Callithrix jacchus: one gene and its partners. The protein of the gene in region 1 interacts with the protein of each later gene in a biochemical or structural test. Links are inferred from orthologs where the notes say so. Each region holds a gene or a part of one and is shown on either strand. Other genes may lie near its edges. The genes, in order: MAPK9, ELK1, ATF2, MAPK8IP3 and JUNB.

What was found.
Region 2: of the proteins of MAPK9 (region 1) and ELK1, one has a biochemical effect on the other in vitro, tested with the Homo sapiens proteins (2 studies listed by BioGRID). The link is inferred for Callithrix jacchus from reciprocal best matches to the Homo sapiens genes MAPK9 and ELK1.
Region 3: of the proteins of MAPK9 (region 1) and ATF2, one has a biochemical effect on the other in vitro, tested with the Homo sapiens proteins (4 studies listed by BioGRID and IntAct, with this or other methods). The link is inferred for Callithrix jacchus from reciprocal best matches to the Homo sapiens genes MAPK9 and ATF2.
Region 4: the proteins of MAPK9 (region 1) and MAPK8IP3 form a complex in vitro, tested with the Homo sapiens proteins (2 studies listed by BioGRID). The link is inferred for Callithrix jacchus from reciprocal best matches to the Homo sapiens genes MAPK9 and MAPK8IP3.
Region 5: the proteins of MAPK9 (region 1) and JUNB form a complex in vitro, tested with the Homo sapiens proteins (2 studies listed by BioGRID). The link is inferred for Callithrix jacchus from reciprocal best matches to the Homo sapiens genes MAPK9 and JUNB.

The regions. Positions count from the first base shown.
Region 1 is NC_133503.1:71,371,779-71,375,315, forward strand, and holds part of MAPK9 (mitogen-activated protein kinase 9), read left to right. Parts: intron 1-1,713; coding exon 1,714-1,879; intron 1,880-2,972; coding exon of another isoform or gene 2,973-3,044; intron 3,045-3,164; coding exon of another isoform or gene 3,165-3,193; exon of another isoform or gene 3,194-3,230; intron 3,231-3,383; coding exon 3,384-3,455; exon of another isoform or gene 3,456-3,537. UniProt on the Homo sapiens protein: Serine/threonine-protein kinase involved in various processes such as cell proliferation, differentiation, migration, transformation and programmed cell death.
Region 2 is NC_133524.1:48,602,880-48,606,416, forward strand, and holds part of ELK1 (ETS domain-containing protein Elk-1), read right to left. Parts: intron 1,547-3,537; 5' UTR 1,513-1,546; coding exon 1,303-1,512; intron 163-1,302; coding exon 1-162. UniProt on the Homo sapiens protein: Transcription factor that binds to purine-rich DNA sequences. Forms a ternary complex with SRF and the ETS and SRF motifs of the serum response element (SRE) on the promoter region of immediate early genes such as FOS and IER2.
Region 3 is NC_133507.1:54,352,860-54,356,396, reverse strand, and holds part of ATF2 (cyclic AMP-dependent transcription factor ATF-2), read right to left. Parts: intron 1,663-3,537; coding exon 1,456-1,662; intron 1,024-1,455; exon of another isoform or gene 950-1,023; intron 1-949. UniProt on the Homo sapiens protein: Transcriptional activator which regulates the transcription of various genes, including those involved in anti-apoptosis, cell growth, and DNA damage response.
Region 4 is NC_133513.1:3,959,000-3,963,221, reverse strand, and holds the start of MAPK8IP3 (C-Jun-amino-terminal kinase-interacting protein 3), read right to left. Parts: upstream 2,838-4,222; 5' UTR 2,680-2,837; coding exon 2,362-2,679; intron 1-2,361.
Region 5 is NC_133523.1:11,614,656-11,618,496, reverse strand, and holds JUNB (transcription factor JunB), read right to left. Parts: upstream 2,344-3,841; 5' UTR 2,053-2,343; coding exon 1,009-2,052; 3' UTR 508-1,008; downstream 1-507. UniProt on the Homo sapiens protein: Transcription factor involved in regulating gene activity following the primary growth factor response. Binds to the DNA sequence 5'-TGA[GC]TCA-3'.

The DNA of each region.
Region 1 (3,537 bases):
TCCCTACAAACGACACAAACTCATCATTTCTGATTGCTGCATAATATTCCATGGTGTATATGTGCCACATTTTTCCAATCCAGTCTATTATCAATGGGCATAAAATGCTTGTTCTTAACTTATTCTTTGATTTTAAAAAAAAGGAAACGAGAAGCAAATTGCTTCATTTGGTCTTAGCTCCAGACCAAGTCCTCACAGCGGAGAGTCCCTGGTTGAACTTGGGCTGCTTCTCCCCTGGCTTTCCTTCCTGTCGAGCAGCAGCCCAGCTTCTTTCTCTCAGGCCTCTCTGGGAACTGGGGGTGTCTGCACAGTACCCTGAGGTGGAATGGAGGGGCTAGGGGCTTCTTTTGGGGGCCAGGTAGAGATTGTCACTGCATTTTTAAACATTATATATTTATAATTTAAATTTTACAGAATCTAGGCAGCCTAGAAATAGAGCATTTAGCAGCATTGAAATGTAATTGTAACTGTTGTAAATATTCAAACGGCTTCCTGCTTGCCCTGAGAACAGTTCCACAGCCTTCACTGAGGCATACCTGAAACCCCCTTGTGGCCCATCAATTGGGATGTCTTAAAGTCAGGTGCTAGGCAGTTTTATGGAACGTGAAACTCCCCATGTAAAGTATCCTTGGGCTTTACCCTGTGTCAGTGGCTTGGCAATTTGACATTGCAGGTACACATTTTATACTCTTGTGAAAAGAATGGATGTGAGTTGTTTACAAGTCGCAGTCTCTAGCGTGAGTTTGCAGGCTGAAGTCCCCAGGCAAAAGTCAAATTCCTGAGTCCTAAGGAAGGAGGCTAGGGTGGTGGATCAGCAGGAAAAACATCCCTTAGTTATAAGGGAAGAGGTTGCCGAAGTTGTGTTAAGGCTTTGCAAGTGGGGTGGAATAGGATGCATGTCTTCATTCAGCGTACCCTATCCAAGTCGTGGGGGTGAGAAGACTTGAGGTGGATGATGATGGAATTGTTCGTCCAAGGAGAGAAAGAGCCATGGGAACATCCCAGGGTTAGAGGATTCTAGGCCTGTGCTGTCCAGAATGGCAGCCACCAACCACAGGAAGCTGTAGAGTACTCAGGATGTGGCCATGCTGCAGTTGTCAAATACATACTGGACTTCAAAGCCTCAGTACCAAAAAGAGAATATAAAATATCTCAAGGTTTTTCTGATGTTGATTACATTTTGAAATTATAATATGGATATATTGGGTTAAATAAAATATATTATTAAAATTAATTTCACCTATTTCTGTTCACACTGTTGAACATGGCTACTAGAAAATGTAAATTATACACATGGTTCACATTATATGGCATTGTCGATTTAACAGCACTACCCTAGACTGACAGTGAGCACGAGGACCTTAGCAGAAGAGAATCAGAGTATTGGGGAACTGAAGTCCAGGTGTGGAGGACGGGACATGTGGATGCTTAGACGGAGGGTAGACTGAGTAGCCTGAGGGCCTGCAAGGCCACAGAAAGGACAAAGGAAGGCCATGAACGTTTTCATTGGGAGTAAGGGGTACCATCTGACCTCTTTAGACTGATTTGTTTTAGTTTCAATTTCAGAGTAAGATTTTTCAAAATTGTTCCCAAATCCCAGAGTTCAGTTTACTCCCTACACTCTCACACTGGCTTCACAGACCCTTACGGATATGTAGCAGTTTATTTAGCATGCTCTGTTCTTTTTACTGATTTAAACTATTTCTTTCCTAGGATTTGAAGCCTAGCAACATTGTTGTGAAATCAGACTGCACCCTGAAGATCCTTGACTTTGGCCTGGCACGCACAGCGTGCACTAACTTTATGATGACTCCTTATGTGGTGACACGGTACTACCGGGCACCTGAAGTCATCCTGGGTATGGGCTACAAAGAGAATGGTGAGTAAAGGCAGGACTGGAAGAGGCTGAGATGTTTAGAAATTGCTCTAGTGGTGGTCCTGAGTTTTTTCTCTTTCCTTTGAACCATATGGTGTAGACCGTGGGAACTGTTACATATAGAATAGCATGATCCAGAGATAATAAATAATTAATTGTGTTTTTCCATTGGTTAAATCATTCCCTTTTAAAATTTTGCTTTTAAAATTAGTATTTTGAACTTTTTATCGACATTTAATCTACCTATAGCCAAGTGTGCAGATCCTGAGTGTGCAGTTGAGCTGATACGAGCACACCTACAGGACCAGCAGCTCTGGCCTCCCCATAGCCCCTCCTCCTCCCAGCCCACGAAGCTGGCCAATCTCCTGATCTCTAGCACCATGAATTGGTTTTTCTTGTTGGTTTTGTGATATAAATGGATTAATACATGTTCTCTTTCATGTAAAATTGGTATCTTTTTACATCAAAATTTAGCTTATTCTAGCAATATCAGAGCTCTTTGAAACTTGGCTTTTAGCAAATTTGATGAAAATAACTAAATCACACTTACTTTTTTTTATTATTATTAACAAATATTTGGTATTTTCTCAACTTATTTTTAAAAAGACTGAAATTTACCCAGGTCATCTGAAACAAGTTTTACTCCAGGTTTATCTTGCTGCATTGTAGCATGTGTTCCCACCCTGAGAGGCACAGCTTCATGTGCTTCCTGTGGAAGGGAGAGAAAACTAGATCCCCTGTTCACTTCTCCCCCCTGCCCACCAGCAGAGCACTTAGAGGGCTCTGCTGTCTGTCTGAGGCCAGGGGGACCAGCATGGCATCACAGATGAGGGCGGGAAGTCTGGGCCCCTATAGCAGGGTCACATTTGCAGTCCTGCAAGCCAGCCACTGTGTGCTGCATATTCCCCCACCGAGTGCTGCTGCCTTTCTGATAGGGCAGTCTAGAAAATGATCTGCTCATTTGGTGTGGTGTCCACAGTACACAAAAGCTCCTGCTGGCAAGCTGGTGACATTTACTGGGTTTGTCTCTGGGAGGGGGTTTGGAGAAAAGAGATGTGGGGCTGTAGCTGGTTTTTAATCCCCTGGTGTTTGGTAGTGGACATCTGGTCTGTCGGGTGCATCATGGCAGAAATGGTCCTCCATAAAGTCCTGTTCCCAGGAAGAGACTGTATCCTTCACAGGGGACCTGGCACTTGGCCATGGAGGCTGGGGGCAGGGTGGGCATATGACCCTGAAAAGCTTTGTGTTCACAGGCACTTCTTGTTTCTGGTTTTTTGTTTGTTTTAAGCTCTAAAGTATTGGACTCTTTGGCACTAAAACCCCAGATTGCTACAAACTGAAGGCTAAAATAGAGGTCAGCAATCATTCATATTGTGTAAAAAGTTCACCCTTAGCTAGCAATTTATTTTTCCATATTTGTGTGTTTAGTGCACTGTTAGAATTCCTTTTCCTCACCTTTGTTTTGCTCATGGCACTTCATAATTTTATCATTTCATTTTATTTTCAGTTGATATCTGGTCAGTGGGTTGCATCATGGGAGAGCTGGTGAAAGGTTGTGTGATATTCCAAGGCACTGACCGTATCCTTCCCCGCGACCTTGGCCCCGCCATGCTTTCCATAATGTCTCAGGCAGCATGACCACCTGCTTACACGAGCACTCA
Region 2 (3,537 bases), on another chromosome or scaffold:
CCCTGGGGTGGCATGTATAGCAGCAGGGGCCACATTTGCCATGGTGGAGTTAACAGACACCTCTGGCTGGGGCAGGCAGTCCTCAGTGGAGCACCCTGCAACTTCAGGATAGGACACAAACTTGTAGACGAACTTCTGGCCGCTCACCTTGCGGATGATATTCTAGGAAGGGAGGAGAGGAACAGAGGGCCTTAGAGGAAAGGGGCAGGCTGGAGGCAGGGTGTCAGAGGAGAAGAAGGGCAGAGTGGTGTTTCTCTTCTCCTAGTGGCTTCTCTCTACTTGCCCCCCTCCGGCTTTCCAGTCTCTGTAAGTTCCCCTCCCAGCCCATTTCCTCTCCCCCTAGAATCCCCTTGTCTGTATCCCTCCCCAGTCTCTCCCTTTCTCTCTTCTCCCCACAGCAATTTTATTTTTTGAGCTGGAGTCTTGCTCTGTTGCCCAGGCTGGAGTGCAGTGGTGTGATCTTGGCTCACTGCAACCTCTGCCTCCCAGGTTCAAGCAGTTCTCCTGCCTCAGCCTCCCAAGTAGCTGGGACTACAGGCACATGTCACCACACCTGGCTAATTTTTGTAATTTTAGTAGAGACAGGGTTTCACCATGTTGGCTAGGATGGTCTTGATCTCCTGACCTCATGATCCGCTTGCCTCAGCCTCCTAAAGTTCTGGATTAGAGGCATGAGCACCCGTGACCAGCCGACAATTCTTTCTTTAAGCCCCTTCCCATCAACCCCTCTCCAAGTCTCCCCTCTGTCACTCTCCAGGTCTGTCTATCTGATTTTCCCTCCCCGACCCACCAGGGACTTCAGTCCTATAACTTCCTCTTCACAGTGGGATGAAAGGGAATAGGTATGGGAATAGGTCTTCCTCCTGGCTCCAAGAACCAGGGGTTCACAGGACCAGGCCTTGTGGGTGGCTGTCAGGACACAGTTCTGGTGACTAGCAAATGCAATAAGATAAGAAAATGAAGTAACTGATATAAATGCTGGAAGACAGTATATTAATGTAGATGGATGGGGTGATGAATTATTCATACAGAGGATTATTTGAAGCTAATGACACAGAAGTGGAACAGGGCAAGGTCACTGCAGAGGACAGGGTGAGGAGGCCTCCTTATTACCACCACTGTGGAGGCTGAAGCTAAAGTGGTAAGAAAATGAAGCAACAACAGCAATTAGACAAGAATATTAAAAATACTGGTATAAATATTCATAGCTATAGCAATTAAAACAAAAGAAATATCTCTCATATTTATATCTATTTATATATTTATGTCAGGGGGTCCCAGCTCTGGTCTCAGAGACTGTACCTTGTCATAGTAGTACCGCAAGGCCCGGCTGAGCTTGTCGTAATTCATGTTGGTCTTGTTCTTGCGTAGCCCCCACAGCCGGGCCACCTCCTCTGCATCCACCAGCTTGAATTCACCACCATCCCGTGAAGTCCAGGAGATGATGTGGCCATTGCCCTGTTCTCTCAGCAGCTGCAGCAGAAACTGCCACAGCGTCACAGATGGGTCCATCGCTGGGGGAGTGCTCACGCCATCCCAGGGGTACCTGGAGAGCGAACAGCTGAGTTGACAGGCAGTGGACATAGGAGGGGAAGGGGTCAGCGGGGGGAGGGTTCCTTTTTCTGTCATCTTTTTTCCATCTCTGTCCTCAAACCCTACCATCATTCCCTCAACATCCCCAGGCTAACTTCTAGCTGCCCAGTCTAGCATGGGCTGCTCCCTGTTATGAATACAATTCGTGGGTATCTTAGGATGGTGTGAATTTATTTTCCATGTGGGACAAATGTCAATCTATGAGGGTCAGAGGGCAGACTGTGGTAGGCCAAATGATGCCACCCCTGCTCCATATCGTAATCCCTGGATGTGTTATTTATACTACACAGCAGAAAGGAACTTTGCAGATGAAATTAAGGTTACAAACCTTAAGATAGGGAGATTATTTGAGTAAATTCAATCTAATCATATGAGCTCTGAAAAGCAGATGATGAAGAAAGGTAGCTCAGAGATGTGACGACAGAAGAGGCAGGGAGATTTGAAATGTGAGAGGAACTCAACCTGCCATTGTTGGCTCTGAAGATGGAGGAAGGGGGCTCAGAGCCAAGGACTGTGGGCAGCCTCTTAGAGCTGGGAATGGCTACCAGCCGACAGACAGTAAGGAAACAGGGACTTCAGTCCTACAACCTCAAGGAATTGGATTCTGCCAACAACTTGAATGAGCAGGAAACGGGTTTTCCCCTAGAGCCTTCAGAAGGAACACAACTCTGCCAACACCTGGATTCCAGCCCACTGAGACCAGTGTGGGACTTCTGACCTACACAACTATAAGATAACAAATGCGTTGTTTTAAGTGGCTAAGTTTGTGATAATTTATTACAGCGAGAATAGAAAACTAGTTCCATCCCCCTCACTCGGGCATTATCTGTATCTTCTACCATATCAATGTCAAGTTTTCAGGTTTTTTTTTTATTGCCAGACCCTTGCAAACGCTACTCACTCAACGTGGGGCTTCCTTCTTCCACCTAGCAGTCTTCCTTACCTTTCAAGTCCCAGCTCAAAGGTCCTTTCCTTTATGAAGCCATCCTAAAACTGAACACCTGTTCTCTCTGTCCTGTTACTGTCCGTGAATGTTCTCTTTTTTTTGTTTTTGTTTTTTGGGGGGATGGAGTCTCTCTCTATCGCCCAGGCTGGAGTGCAGTGCAGTGGCACAATCCTGACTCACCGCAACCTCTGCCTCCCAGGTTCAAGCGATTCTCATGCATCAGCCTCCTGCATAGCTGGGATTACAGGTACCCACCACCATGCCTGCCTAACTTTTGTATTTTTAGTAGAGATGGGGTTTCACCATGTTGGCCAGGCTGATCTTGAACTCCTGACCTCAAGTGATCCACCTACCTCCCACCTCAGCCTCCCAGTGCTGGAATTACAGGCACGAGCCACCGTGCTCGGACCTGAATGTTCTTTCTTGATGACAGTAATAATTAACATCTATGGACAGCTTAATACGCATCAGGCACTGTTCTAAGCTGAGAGGCAACGTGGCCTGCTGGACAACTGCCCAGGCACTAGGGCCAAACTTCCAGTGTTTGAATCCTGGTTCTGCCACTTATTAGCTGTGTGACCCTGGGCATATTCTTTTTCGTTTTTTAGAGATGGGGGTCTTACTACCTTGCCCAGACTGTTCTGAAACTCTCAGGCTCAAGCAATCCTCTCTCCCTGGCCTCCTGAAGTGCTGGGATTACAGGCATGAGGCGCCATGCTTGGCCGATAATCTTTAACCTCTTTGTACCTCAATTTTCTCACCTGTAAAATGGAGATAATGATATGCCCATTGGTAAAATAGGATAGCAATAATACGTAGTTCATAGGGATATTGTATGTATGAAATATCATATGCCTGAGGTGTATGATAAGCTCTAAATATTAGTTGCTGATTTTGTTCACAGTCCCTTATCTGCTATTCCAAAATCCAAAAATGCTCTAAAAACAGAAAGCTTCTTTTAACTCTTTTGGCAGCAAAACCTGATTTGAAATGAAACA
Region 3 (3,537 bases), on another chromosome or scaffold:
GCTCATGACAGGGAGGTCAAGGCGGGTGGATCACCTGAGGTCAGGAGTTGGAGACCAGCCTGGCCAATGTGGTAAAACTCCATCTCTACTAAAAATACAAAAATTAGCCAGGCATAGTTGCGTGCACCTATAATCCCAGCTACTTGGGAGGCTGAGACAGGACAATCACTTGAACTTGGGAGGTGGAGGTTGCAGTGAGTCAAGAGCACACCACTGCACTCCAGCCTGGGTGATAACAGAGTGAGACTCTATCTAAAAAAAAAAAAAAAAAAATTTTTACATATATATCAGTTGACAAATGATAAAATATATTTCTTAACCCTAGAAGATAGGCACATATTTTAAGTCTATGTGATGTGGTAAGTTGTATTTAAATTTCTTCTAAATCATTAAAATAAAATCGTTAAAAATGTTTTGCAAGACAATCTATTCTATTATATCAATATGCAAAGCATAATAAAGACTTGAAAGATGTCTGCTTCAGATTTAAAATAATTTACATTATAAAATTTACATTTGGTTAAATGCTATGTCTGATGCTAAAAACTGTTTCCTAACCATTTAAACAGACAATTATATTGGTGACATCTTTATAGACGGCTTTAAGAAGACAGCAGGTTTCTTACTATCAATTATGATTATATGGAAAGATTCACTTTTAACTGGGTATGGATAATTCAGGAGATTGGGCTAGATTAATAACAACTGCAATTCATAACATAAATTTTCTAGTTGATACTCATCAATCAACTGGTAGTTTAAGATTATATGGGAGAATATTTACATTAAAAAACACAACAAAAACAAAAGGAAGGAAGAAAGACAAAACAAAAAACAGATTTGGTGCTGTCTTAAAACTTTATACTCCATGAGGTTTTAAAGAAATGTATCTGAGGCACATTGGCAGGGCAGTATGAAATGATCTGTATTGCCACTGGCCATATTGTACCTGGTCTGTGGATAATTAGAGTCCTTCAGTTTCCAAAGCTGTCAATCTGGCACATTTCACGAGCAATATATTCTCTTTAAATAAAACAAAACAGAACAAAATTTATAATTCAAAGAATGAAAGAATTTAAAAACTGCTACTGAAGCAACTTTAGTTGTGCTATAAACCAAAGATGAGTGAAATAACTGATATTTTAAAATTTTTAAATTATCTGCACTTAATATCACAACTTTATAAAGTTCAAACCAGATAAGTTTGGCTACTTTTATAAGCAGGTAAACATGTTTTAAATTTCCTCATTGTATCAGTGTTGAAAGTTTTATATTACTTCATCCCAGCATTCAAACAAACAGGCTTACAAAACTATGATTTTCTACAGTTCCATACACACCCAATATTATGTCCTAAAATGTTTGGAGGGCCAACTAGAATAAAAAGAAAATAGCTATATTCACAATTATTTAAAAAGAAATGAATAAAACAAAATTCACATATATGCACCATACCTGCAGTTGACCATTTAAAGAACTCAAGTCTTCTGCTTTCTTCTCTAAAGACTGAACCCAGACTTTCCTTTTTTGTCGGCATCTTGAAGCTGCTGCTCTATTTCGCTCTAAGAACTTTCTCCTTTTTTCATCAGGATCTTCATTAGCTGCTCTTCTCCGACGACCACTTGTACTTTGGGTCTGTGGAGTTGTGTGAGCTGGAGAAGCCTATTATAAACAGAGAGGAAAACTTGTTATATTTGTATTTAGTGAGTGAATTAACATAGACAATAAAGGGTGTCAAAGAGGGACAGCAACTGTATTTTCTAAGTCTGATTGAATACATAAGCATGTTGGCGCAATATGAAAATCACCCTGTGGCCGGGCACGGTGGCTCATGCCTGTAATCCCAGCACTCTGGGAAGCCGAGGTGGGCGATCACCTGAGGTCTAGAGTTTGAGACCAGCCTGGACAACATAGAGAAACTCCGTCTCTACTAAAAATACAAAATTAGCTGGGTGTGGTGACATGCACCTGTAATCCCAGGTACGTGGGAGGTTGAGGCAGGAGAATCCCTTGAACCCAGGAGGTAGAGGTTGCAGTGAGCTGAGATTGCACCATTGCACTCCAGCCTGAGTGACAAGAGTGAAATTCTGTCTTAAAAAAAAAAAAAAAAAAGATTAAAAAAAAAAAGAAAAAGAAAATCACCCTTAAGTGGTTTAACTTCTTTCTTAAATATACTTATGAGCTATGCTATATAATACAATTCTCACTAATGCAATGTAATAGCAAATGTATTCTTTAAAGTATGTATAGTTTCATTTATGTGCAAATATGAAAAAAATCAAAATACAATATAAATGATACATAGAAATATTTTTCCAAGTGTATTTTAACAGACTTTATTGTATTATTCAATCCCTGGAAAACTAGTGATTATAAATTTCTCAATTAAAACGTTTAATAGCTTCCTATTTAAATCCATGATAGTAAACCATAATTTCTATGCTATTTTTAAATTAAATATCTCATATTAAATGTCAATTTTCTTAAAGAAAACTGGCTTCTCTAAAGTTATGGAGTGAAAATATGTATATTCTTTGGTATATTCAGCTTTTCTTCAGTTTGTGAAATTTAAGGTCATAGTCTTTTTCTAAGGGTCAAGTTCTTGTATTTATTAAGGCTAATTTTTCTGGTAGGGAGAATCCCACAGGAACTTTAAAATTTTCATTTTATTTGCTCCCTTCTGCTCTCCAACAAATCAGCTTGGTTATCTCAGATTAGCCAGAGAAGGAAATCTTCAGTCACTAGTTATATTGTCTGGTGTCTAAGACTATTGAACTCAGTCACTAGTTACATTGTCTTGTGTCTCAGACTATTGAACAATAGGTACCTTCAAGCCTTTCTCAAGCCCCAAAATTGTACCACAGAACAAATGAATATGGACATTAGAAAATAAACTCTTGGCCAGGTGCAGTGGCTCATGCCTGTAATCCCAGCATTTGGGAGGCCGAGGCGGGCAGATCACTTGAGGTTGGAAGTTCGAGACCAGCCTGGCCAACATGGTAAAACCCCCATCTCTAATAAAAATATAGAAAAATTAGCCCGACATGGTGGCGCATTCCTGTAATCCCAGCTACTCCTGAGGCTGAGGCACGAGAATTGCCTGAAACTGGGAGGCAGAGGTTGCAGTGAGCTGAGACAATGCCAGGGCACTCCAGCCTGGACAACAGAGCAAGACTCAGTCTCAAAAAAAAGAAAGAAAAAAGATAATGAACTCTTGGAAATGGTGCAGAGAAAAGAAAACTTTGTGGCCATAGGCACGTGATCCAAAGGAGAAGCCTGAAAACAATCTTTTACCTATAATTTATTAAAAAATAATATGCACAAATAAAATTTGTTTTCTCCTAATCTATGTAATTAAAATCTTATATAGGGCTCAAGATAAATTCTTCATGTAAATTACCAAACTATTTTTCACTCTACAAATTCTAAAAAATACAGTTATTATTTCTTTGTCCTAATAACTGGCATTACAAAGAGAGTTATTTCATTTATAAAGTATTTTACACCTGGGGAACATAGCAAAACCTCATTTCTACA
Region 4 (4,222 bases), on another chromosome or scaffold:
GTAACTGCCTCTCGACAGCACGAAAGCCAACGCAACAGAAACCACAGTAAGGGGCAATGATACGACTGTTTTTTATAAACATGCTCTAAACCACACTCGGGCATAACTCACCGTGGTTTCAGAAAAAGCCAAAATGCTGAAAAACTCTTATTTTCATATAAAGTCAAGAACATGTGAAGCCGAATTAACTGAAAGGAATTTAAAGTCGTTTCCTAAGATACGTCCTATTCACAAGTCCGACGGCATCACCTAACTCCCAGAATGGGAAAATGTCTGAGCTTAGAGACCGCCTAGCGCAATTCACTCCTCTGATGGAAAATCCAAACCCGGGCAGGCGACAGGCCAAGGTCACAGAGGCAAAGCAGGGACGGGAACCAGCGCGCCCCGAACCTGCTTCCGACCAAGGGCGAGGCTCTGGGCCCCCTCAGTATCTGATGGTGAATCAATGAAGCTAAGTGGTGCTCCCTACGGGCAGGGCTTCCACCGGCTTCACAAATCAGCGATTTCCAGGTGATGGCGACATCCTAGAACAGAATTAAACGCTCCGAACTCGGACTTTTAACTCCTCAGAAGCCAGAGTGGAGTTTCTGAGCGCTGGCCTCGCCAGGCAGGGAACCGAGGGGCAAAGAGATCACCTCTAGAAGGCGGGTGCTCGGCCTGCCGACAGGGGCAGCTCGTCCGCGGCCTTGCTCTGTGTTTACATCAAGCGGTCAATTCCCCCATGTCAGACCTTCAAACACGGGGTCAGGGACAAGGGACAGGTCTCCGACCTCTGCACAGAGGCCGCAGCACCCTCAGAAAACCAGATTCCTTTTCCAGATGGGTTTAGAACGGCGGCTGACAGAGGTAGGAGCATTCGGGGTCTGGAAAGCGGTTTGGACTCAACACAGGCACCAAAGCAAAGGGAACCGGCACGCAGAGGTTGCGGGGCGGGGGAGACAGCGGGGCCCGGCTTTGAGGCTGAGCTCCCCGGGGACGACGCCAGGCACAGCGGGTTTGGAGGGCCTGCAGGAGGGGGCCAGGGCCCAGGCCTGGGCAGGCGGGGGGTGCTCTAGGGAGACGTCTCGCGGCGGGCAGAGGGGGTGGGGGAGTCCCGGGGCGGGGTCTGGGTCCCGGAGTCCCGGGGCGGGGTCTGGGTTCTGGGTCTGGGTCCGGGGCGGGCGCCGAGGGGTCCCGGAGTCCCGGGGCGGGGTCTGGGTCTGGAGTGAGTGCCGGGGCGGGCGCCGAGGGGTCCCGGAGTCCCGGGTCGGGGTCTGGGTCCGGGGCGGGCAGAGGGGGTGGGGGAGTCCCGGGGCGGGGTCTGGGTCTGGAGTCCCGGGGCGGGGTCTGGGTCTGGGGTCTGGGTCTGGAGTGAGTCCCGGGGCGGGGTCTGGGGTCTGGGGTCTGGGTCTGGAGTGAGTGAGGAGTCCCGGGGCGGGGTCTGGGGTCTGGGTCTGGAGTGAGTCCCGGGGCGGGGTCTGGGTCCGGGGGGGCAGAGGGGGTGGGGGAGTCCCGGGGCGGGGTCTGGGGTCTGGGTCTGGGTCTGGAGTGAGTGAGTCCCGGGGCGGGGTCTGGGGTCTGGGTCTGGGGTCTGGGTCTGGAGTGAGTGAGTCCCGGGGCGGGGTCTGGGGTCTGGGTCTGGAGTGAGTCCCGGGGCGGGGTCTGGGTCCGGGGGGGCAGAGGGGGTGGGGGAGTCCCGGGGCGGGGTCTGGGGTCTGGGTCTGGGGTCTGGGTCTGGAGTGAGTGAGTCCCGGGGCGGGGTCTGGGGTCTGGGTCTGGAGTGAGTCCCGGGGCGGGGTCTGGGTCCGGGGGGGCAGAGGGGGTGGGGGAGTCCCGGGGCGGGGTCTGGGGTCTGGGGTCTGGGTCTGGAGTGAGTGAGGAGTCCCGGGGCGGGGTCTGGGGTCTGGGTCTGGGGTCTGGGTCTGGAGTGAGGAGTCCCGGGGCGGGGTCTGGGGTCTGGGGTCTGGGTCTGGAGTGAGTGAGGAGTCCCGGGGCGGGGTCTGGGGTCTGGGTCTGGGGTCTGGGTCTGGAGTGAGGAGTCCCGGGGCGGGGTCTGGGGTCTGGGTCTGGAGTGAGGAGTCCCGGGGCGGGGTCTGGGGTCTGGGTCTGCAGTGAGTGAGTCCCGGGGCGGGGTCTGGGTCTGGGGTCTGGGTCTGCAGTGAGTGAGTCCCGGGGCGGGGTCTGGGGTCTGGGTCTGGAGTGAGTCCCGGGGCGGGGTCTGGGTCTGGGGTCTGGGTCTGCAGTGAGTGAGTCCCGGGGCGGGGTCTGGGGTCTGGGTCTGCAGTGAGGAGTCCCGGGGCGGGGTCTGGGGTCTGGGTCTGGGGTCTGGGTCTGGAGTGAGGAGTCCCGGGGCGGGCGCCCAGGGGCCCCGCGGCCACGCACCTCCTCCGCCTGCCTGCGCAGCGCCTTCTCGCGCTCGTACTGGGTGAGGAGCTGCTCGTTGTCCTCGCGCAGCAGCTCCAGCTCCACCTCGTGCTCCTGGTTCTCGCTGAGCACCGAGTCCAGGTTCTCCAGCACGTTCACCACCAGCGGCATGAGCTCCTTGACCACCTCCTCGTCGTAGCAGTGGATGAGGCGCTCGAACTCGCGGTAGATGGAGCCCGCCAGGCCCGACACCCGCTCCGACATCACCGAGCCGGAGCAGTAGTCGTCCTGGTACACCACCACGCCGCCGCCCTCGTCCATCTGGATCTCCATCATCGCGGCCACCGCCGCCGCCAGCGCGGCTAGCTCTCCGGCCGGCTCGCCCGGCCCGCCCCGGCTGCCTCAGGTCCCGCAGGCCGCGGCCCGTCGCCTCCTGCAGCTGCTGTCGCCTCAGGGCTCCGCCGCCGCTGCCGAGGCTGCGCCCGTCACTCACTAGCCGGAAGTCCCGCCCGCCAGCCGGAGGGGGCGGTGCCCGCGCGTCCTGCGGCGGCCGCGCCGCCAGGGGGCGCAGGGGCCGTGACGTCAGAGGAAGCCGGGCTTTAGGCCGGAAGCGCGACTGAGCCGGGCTGGGGGCGCTCCTGGTTAGGCTGGCTGGTGGGAGCCCCGGGGCGGCGCCTGTTGTCCGCAGCGCGCGGTAGCTTGAGCACGTCTCGGCCACCCTGGGCTTCCGGTGACCTCGTTCGCGTCCCCAGGCTCTGCACGCACCAGCGGCTTTAGGTGAAGGTTCAGCGCCTGCGCCTCCTCCCGACCGCCCTGATGCGCCTACGTTCCCTGCGGCACTGCGCCCAGCTCAGTCCGCGCCCGGCGCCTCCCCTCTCCTGGTGCCTCCCAACTCAGCTGGCTCTTCCCGGGATTCTGTGAATGCATCTTCAACGCCCATCTCATCCTGAAACCCGGCAGAGTGGCCTTCTTCCTTTCGCCCACTTCTCCCTACTGCACAGTGTGACTTACTCAGATTTTCCGGTTTTTTTCTTTCGAGATGGAGGCTCGCTCTGTCACTCAGGCTGGATACAGTGGCGCAATCCCGGCTCACTGCAACCCTTGCCTCCCGGGTTCAAGTCATTCTCCTGGCTTAGCCTTGCGAGTACCTGCGATTACAGGCCAGATAATTTTGTATTTTTAGTAGAGATGGGGTTTCACCATATTGGCCAGGCTGGTCTCGAACTCCTGACCTCAAGTGATCCTCCTGACTCGGCCACCCAGAATGTTGGGATGAGAGGCGTGAGCCACGGCACCGAACATTTCAGCTCTGTGCAATCTGTTACCCGTCCACTGAGTTACTAATTTCAAAGATATGTATATAATTTTTTGGGTGGTGAGACCAAGTCTCATTCTGTCGCCCAGGATAGACTGCAGTGGCGCGATCTCGGCTCACTGCAACCTCTGCCTCCGGGGTCCATGCGATTCGACTGCCTCAGCCTTTCGAGTAACTGGGACTACAGGCGTGCGCCATTACACTTGGCTTATGTTTTGTATTTTTAGTAGAGGCAGGGGTTTCACCATATTGGCCAGCCTCCCCAAGTGCTGGGATTACCTCACTCCCCAAGTGAGGCTGTGCCCAGCCAATGATTCTATTTTTGACCTATTTGATTTCTAATATTTTAGCATTTTGATAGGTTCTTACTACTTCCAAACACGTAGTTATCTTTTTAAGCTTTGTGTGTGTCTCATAAGTACGTGTCTGCAGCCTTTGCAGGTCTGATTCTGCATGTCATCCTGGTTGACTCTTGGCGCAGGCTCCCCTTCCCCCATTCTGAGCTAGTGTCCTCACGACTTTCTCTCTGGAAGTACTTGAGGCCTGAACTTAATGTGTTGTTCC
Region 5 (3,841 bases), on another chromosome or scaffold:
GGCCGCTCTGGACCCAGGCCTGGGGCTTTCCGTGCCCGGGCAGCCGCCTGCCCGGGAAAATCCCGGCCCCCTTCCCGGCGCCGCGGCCCTGCCCGGCAGAGCGGGGGAGGGGATTCCCGGAATCTGCCCAGAGACCGCGGTCGCGTCACTGGGCAGAATCGGTCCTTATATGGGCAGCGCTTCCGCTGCGTCAGCGGGGAAAGCCCCGGCGCGCGCGGCTGGGCGGGGCCGCGCCTGCGCACTCCGCGTCTCGCGCAGAGCTCCCTGCCTTTTGCTACTGGGCTCCGAAATCGCGTCCCGCGCCCCGCGCCCCGCGCCCCGACCATCCAACCCTGGAGATCAGGAGGCGCGTATAGGGTGGGACTCCCGGGCGGGCCACAAGATGCCTGCGCAGAGCTGAAGAGGGGAACACACACAGGACCGAGCCACTTACAGCACTGAGCTGGGGCAAACCATTGCTTTTTTTTTCCCTCGGCCCTCCCAGCTTGGAAAAAAAGACAACAGAAATTAATAAAGAACCAATTTTTTTTTTTACTTAAATAGATTCAATAAAAAGAACAAACACACACACAAACACAAACACGTCTTAAAATAAACTCTTTAGAGACTAAGTGCGTGTTTCTTTTCCACAGTACGGTGCAGAGAGGGGAGGACAGGGGGCGGGGGTCCCCTTCCCAATGTCCCCGTGGGCTTGAGTACCGGACGGCGGGGCCAGCTCCGCCGCGATCGCCCCCTTCTCCCCTCCCTGTTAAATACACAAATATATTATATTCAATATGAATCGAGTCTGTTTCCAGCAGAAAAAACATACAAAAAAAAGTGGAACCGGGGGGGCTTGTAAACGTCGAGGTGGAAGGACTGGGCACAGGGCGGGAGGGCCGGAGTCCAGTGTGGTTAGCGGCGCTCCCAGGTCCCAGGGTAGGTGCCCACCGCCTGCCCCCTAGACCCCAGTGGGAGGCTTGCGCCCAGCCGTCCAGCGAGGGGGTGTCCGTAAGGGGGCAGGGGCGCTCAGAAGGCGTGTCCCTTGACCCCAAGCAGCAGCTGACAGCCGTTGCTGACGTGGGTCATGACCTTTTGTTTGAGCTGGGCCACCTGCTCCCGGAGGAGGCCGGCGGTACTCGACAGCCCCGCGTTCTCGGCCTTGAGCGTCTTCACCTTGTCCTCCAGGCGCGCGATGCGCTCCAGCTTCCGCTTCCGGCACTTGGTGGCCGCCAGCCGGTTCCGCAGCCGCTTGCGCTCCACTTTGATGCGCTCTTGGTCTTCCATGTTGATGGGGGACACCGGCGGCGTGGCGTCCCGGCTGCGCGCCTCCGGCACGGTCTGCGGTTCCTCCTTGAAAGTGGAGGCGCCGCGGCCCAAGCCCAGCTGCGCCGGGTGGCCACCGGCAAAGGGCGGCGCGTGTGGGAGGTAGCTGATGGTGGCCGTCGGGTACGAGCTCCCAGTCCCGACAGCAGCCCCGGCGCCTCCTGAGGACGCAGAGGCTGGGGAGTAGCTGCTGAGGTTGGTGTAAACGGGAGGTGGCTCCGGGCCGGCGTAGACGCCCCCGGGCCCAGCCGGGGGCCCCCCGCTAGCGCCCAGGGACACGTTGGGGGGTGTCACGTGGTTCATCTTGTGCAGGTCGTCCAGGGCTTTGACAAAGCCGTCGGCGAAGCCCTCCTGCTCCTCGGTGACGCCTCCCCCTGCGCCCCCCGCACCCCCACCGCTGCCACCCCCGCGAGGGTAAAAGTACTGTCCTGGGGGTGTAGGCGTCGTCGTGATCACGCCGTTGCTGTTGGGGACGATCAGGCGTTCCAGCTCCGAAGAGGCGAGCTTGAGAGACGCGCCGGTGTCCGAGCCCTGACCAGAAAAGTAGCTGCCGCCACCGCCGCCCTCTGGGCCGGATCCCCGAGCCCCAGGCGCTTTGAGACTCCGGTAGGGGTCGGCCAGGTTGAGCGCCAGGCCGGGTTTCAGGAGTTTGTAGTCGTGTATAGAGAGGCCACCGGGGGCCCGGCCGTATCCCGCAGGAGTGTATGAGTCGTCGTGGTAGAAGGGCTGTTCCATTTTAGTGCACATCCGGGCGGCCCAGGCGGTCGGGGGAAGGTCCCTGCGGGGCCGCCCCGGGCCTCGCTGCAGCGAGCGCCGCGCTCTCCGCTGCGGTGGCCGGACTGGGTACCTGGTCGCGCGTTCTCCGGGGCTGGCGCGGGCGGGGAGCAGCCAGCCGGAAGCTGTACGCAAAAGCTGTCAGGCTTCTCGAGTCCCCCTCACCCTCTTCGGCGCGCTAGCTTTCCTGGAGTGGTTTCCCCCAGCTCCCAGCTCCCGGCTCCCTGCTGGCTCCGAAGCTGGTCCGGCCGCTCTCCAGGTCCCAGCCGCTCAGCCTGAGCCACACGCCTTTATACAGAAGCTAGTCAGCCACGGAAGTGCGCTCTGATTGGCCGTCGCCGGAGCCGGGCCCCCGCGCCCCCCTCCTCGAGCGTGGGGAAGGGGAGGAGGCGGCTCGCGTCACTGTCAGGAAGCGCGTGTCCTTGTAAACAGCGGCCACGGGCCGGGTGGCTCGGCGGGGCTGCAGGGGGAGGGGCTCAAAGGACCCCGGGGTCCGCGTGGAAGGAGGTGCTGAGGGGCCTGGACACATGAGTGAGGGCGCTCAGGGAGGAGGATGATTTCCCTCCAGCCCACTGGGACAAATACCAGGACCTGGTACGGAGCAAATGGGGTGGAGATCCCAGGGTGTTCGAAGAAACCCTGAGGTACCCAGAGTACGAGAGGGGTGGAAGGACTGACAATTCATTGGGAGACCCCAAAAAGCAGAAATGAGGGTTACTAACGGTAAATCGGGAGGGGTAAGGAGAGACCTGACACAGGAATTGACTGGGGGCCCCAAGCACAGAGGGATGGAGTACTGGAATTTTCACAGGATGGAGGAGAGGAGAGATCAAAAGGGGACAGTGGTGGGCTGCATGACCCATTAAATTGCAAGAAATGAGTAGGGGTCCCGAAGCCCATGGGAGGATCTGAGAGCTCCCCATACGTGGGAAAGAGGAATTAGGAGAAATCTAGATATGCAGAAAGCGAATAAGGGTCCTGCTGTACACTGAGGCAGGTAAAATGTGCGGGGTAGAAGATGTAGACGTCTAGCAGAGATTGGGGACCACTGGAGTTATCCGCGAAGCCTGGATGAAGGAGAGATAGAAGGATCCGGATCCATCTTCGGAGCAGAGAAGACAGTAAGAGGGTACTCAGTTGACGTGAGGAGGGGGCTTTGGGGTCCACGCACCCGGACTGCTGATCTTCCATGACTGGTGCTCCCCCTCGTGGGTGACCCCTTAGGCATCTGCATTCCCTGTCCCCCATCCTAAAACTCTTCCCCTATTGACCCTGGGCTTTGCCCGACACCCTGTCGGCGCCTGGACCCAGCCCGACGGCTGGGGCGCGGTCGCCCAACCCCACACTCCCTTCCTTAGAAACAGGCTGGGGAAAGAGCGCCGAGGCAGGAAGTGTGGCAACAGCCCCGGGGGAAGGAGCCCGGCCCTGTCTCCGTCACTCGGATCCTACGGGACCTTGCGCCCCGCCCTGGGTCCCGCCGCATCCTGCGCCTCGGAAGAGGAACCTGGGCGTGCGAGCCCACGCGGAGGCCCTGGTGCTTGGAGCCGGCCCAGCAGCAGAAGCCTCCAGCTACCATCCTCTCCCCCCAGGCAATGGTTCCTCCCGCGGCGCCTGCTGGGGATCGCCGAGGCAGACAGCTTGGGGACTGTTCCATTGGACCGACAGCGGGAAACGCAGCCCAAGAGCTGGGCCTGGTCGCCATGGCAACAGGCGGGAGTCCGCCGGCAGGACTCAGGGCCGGGTGGCCCCCGGAGTCTCTCCC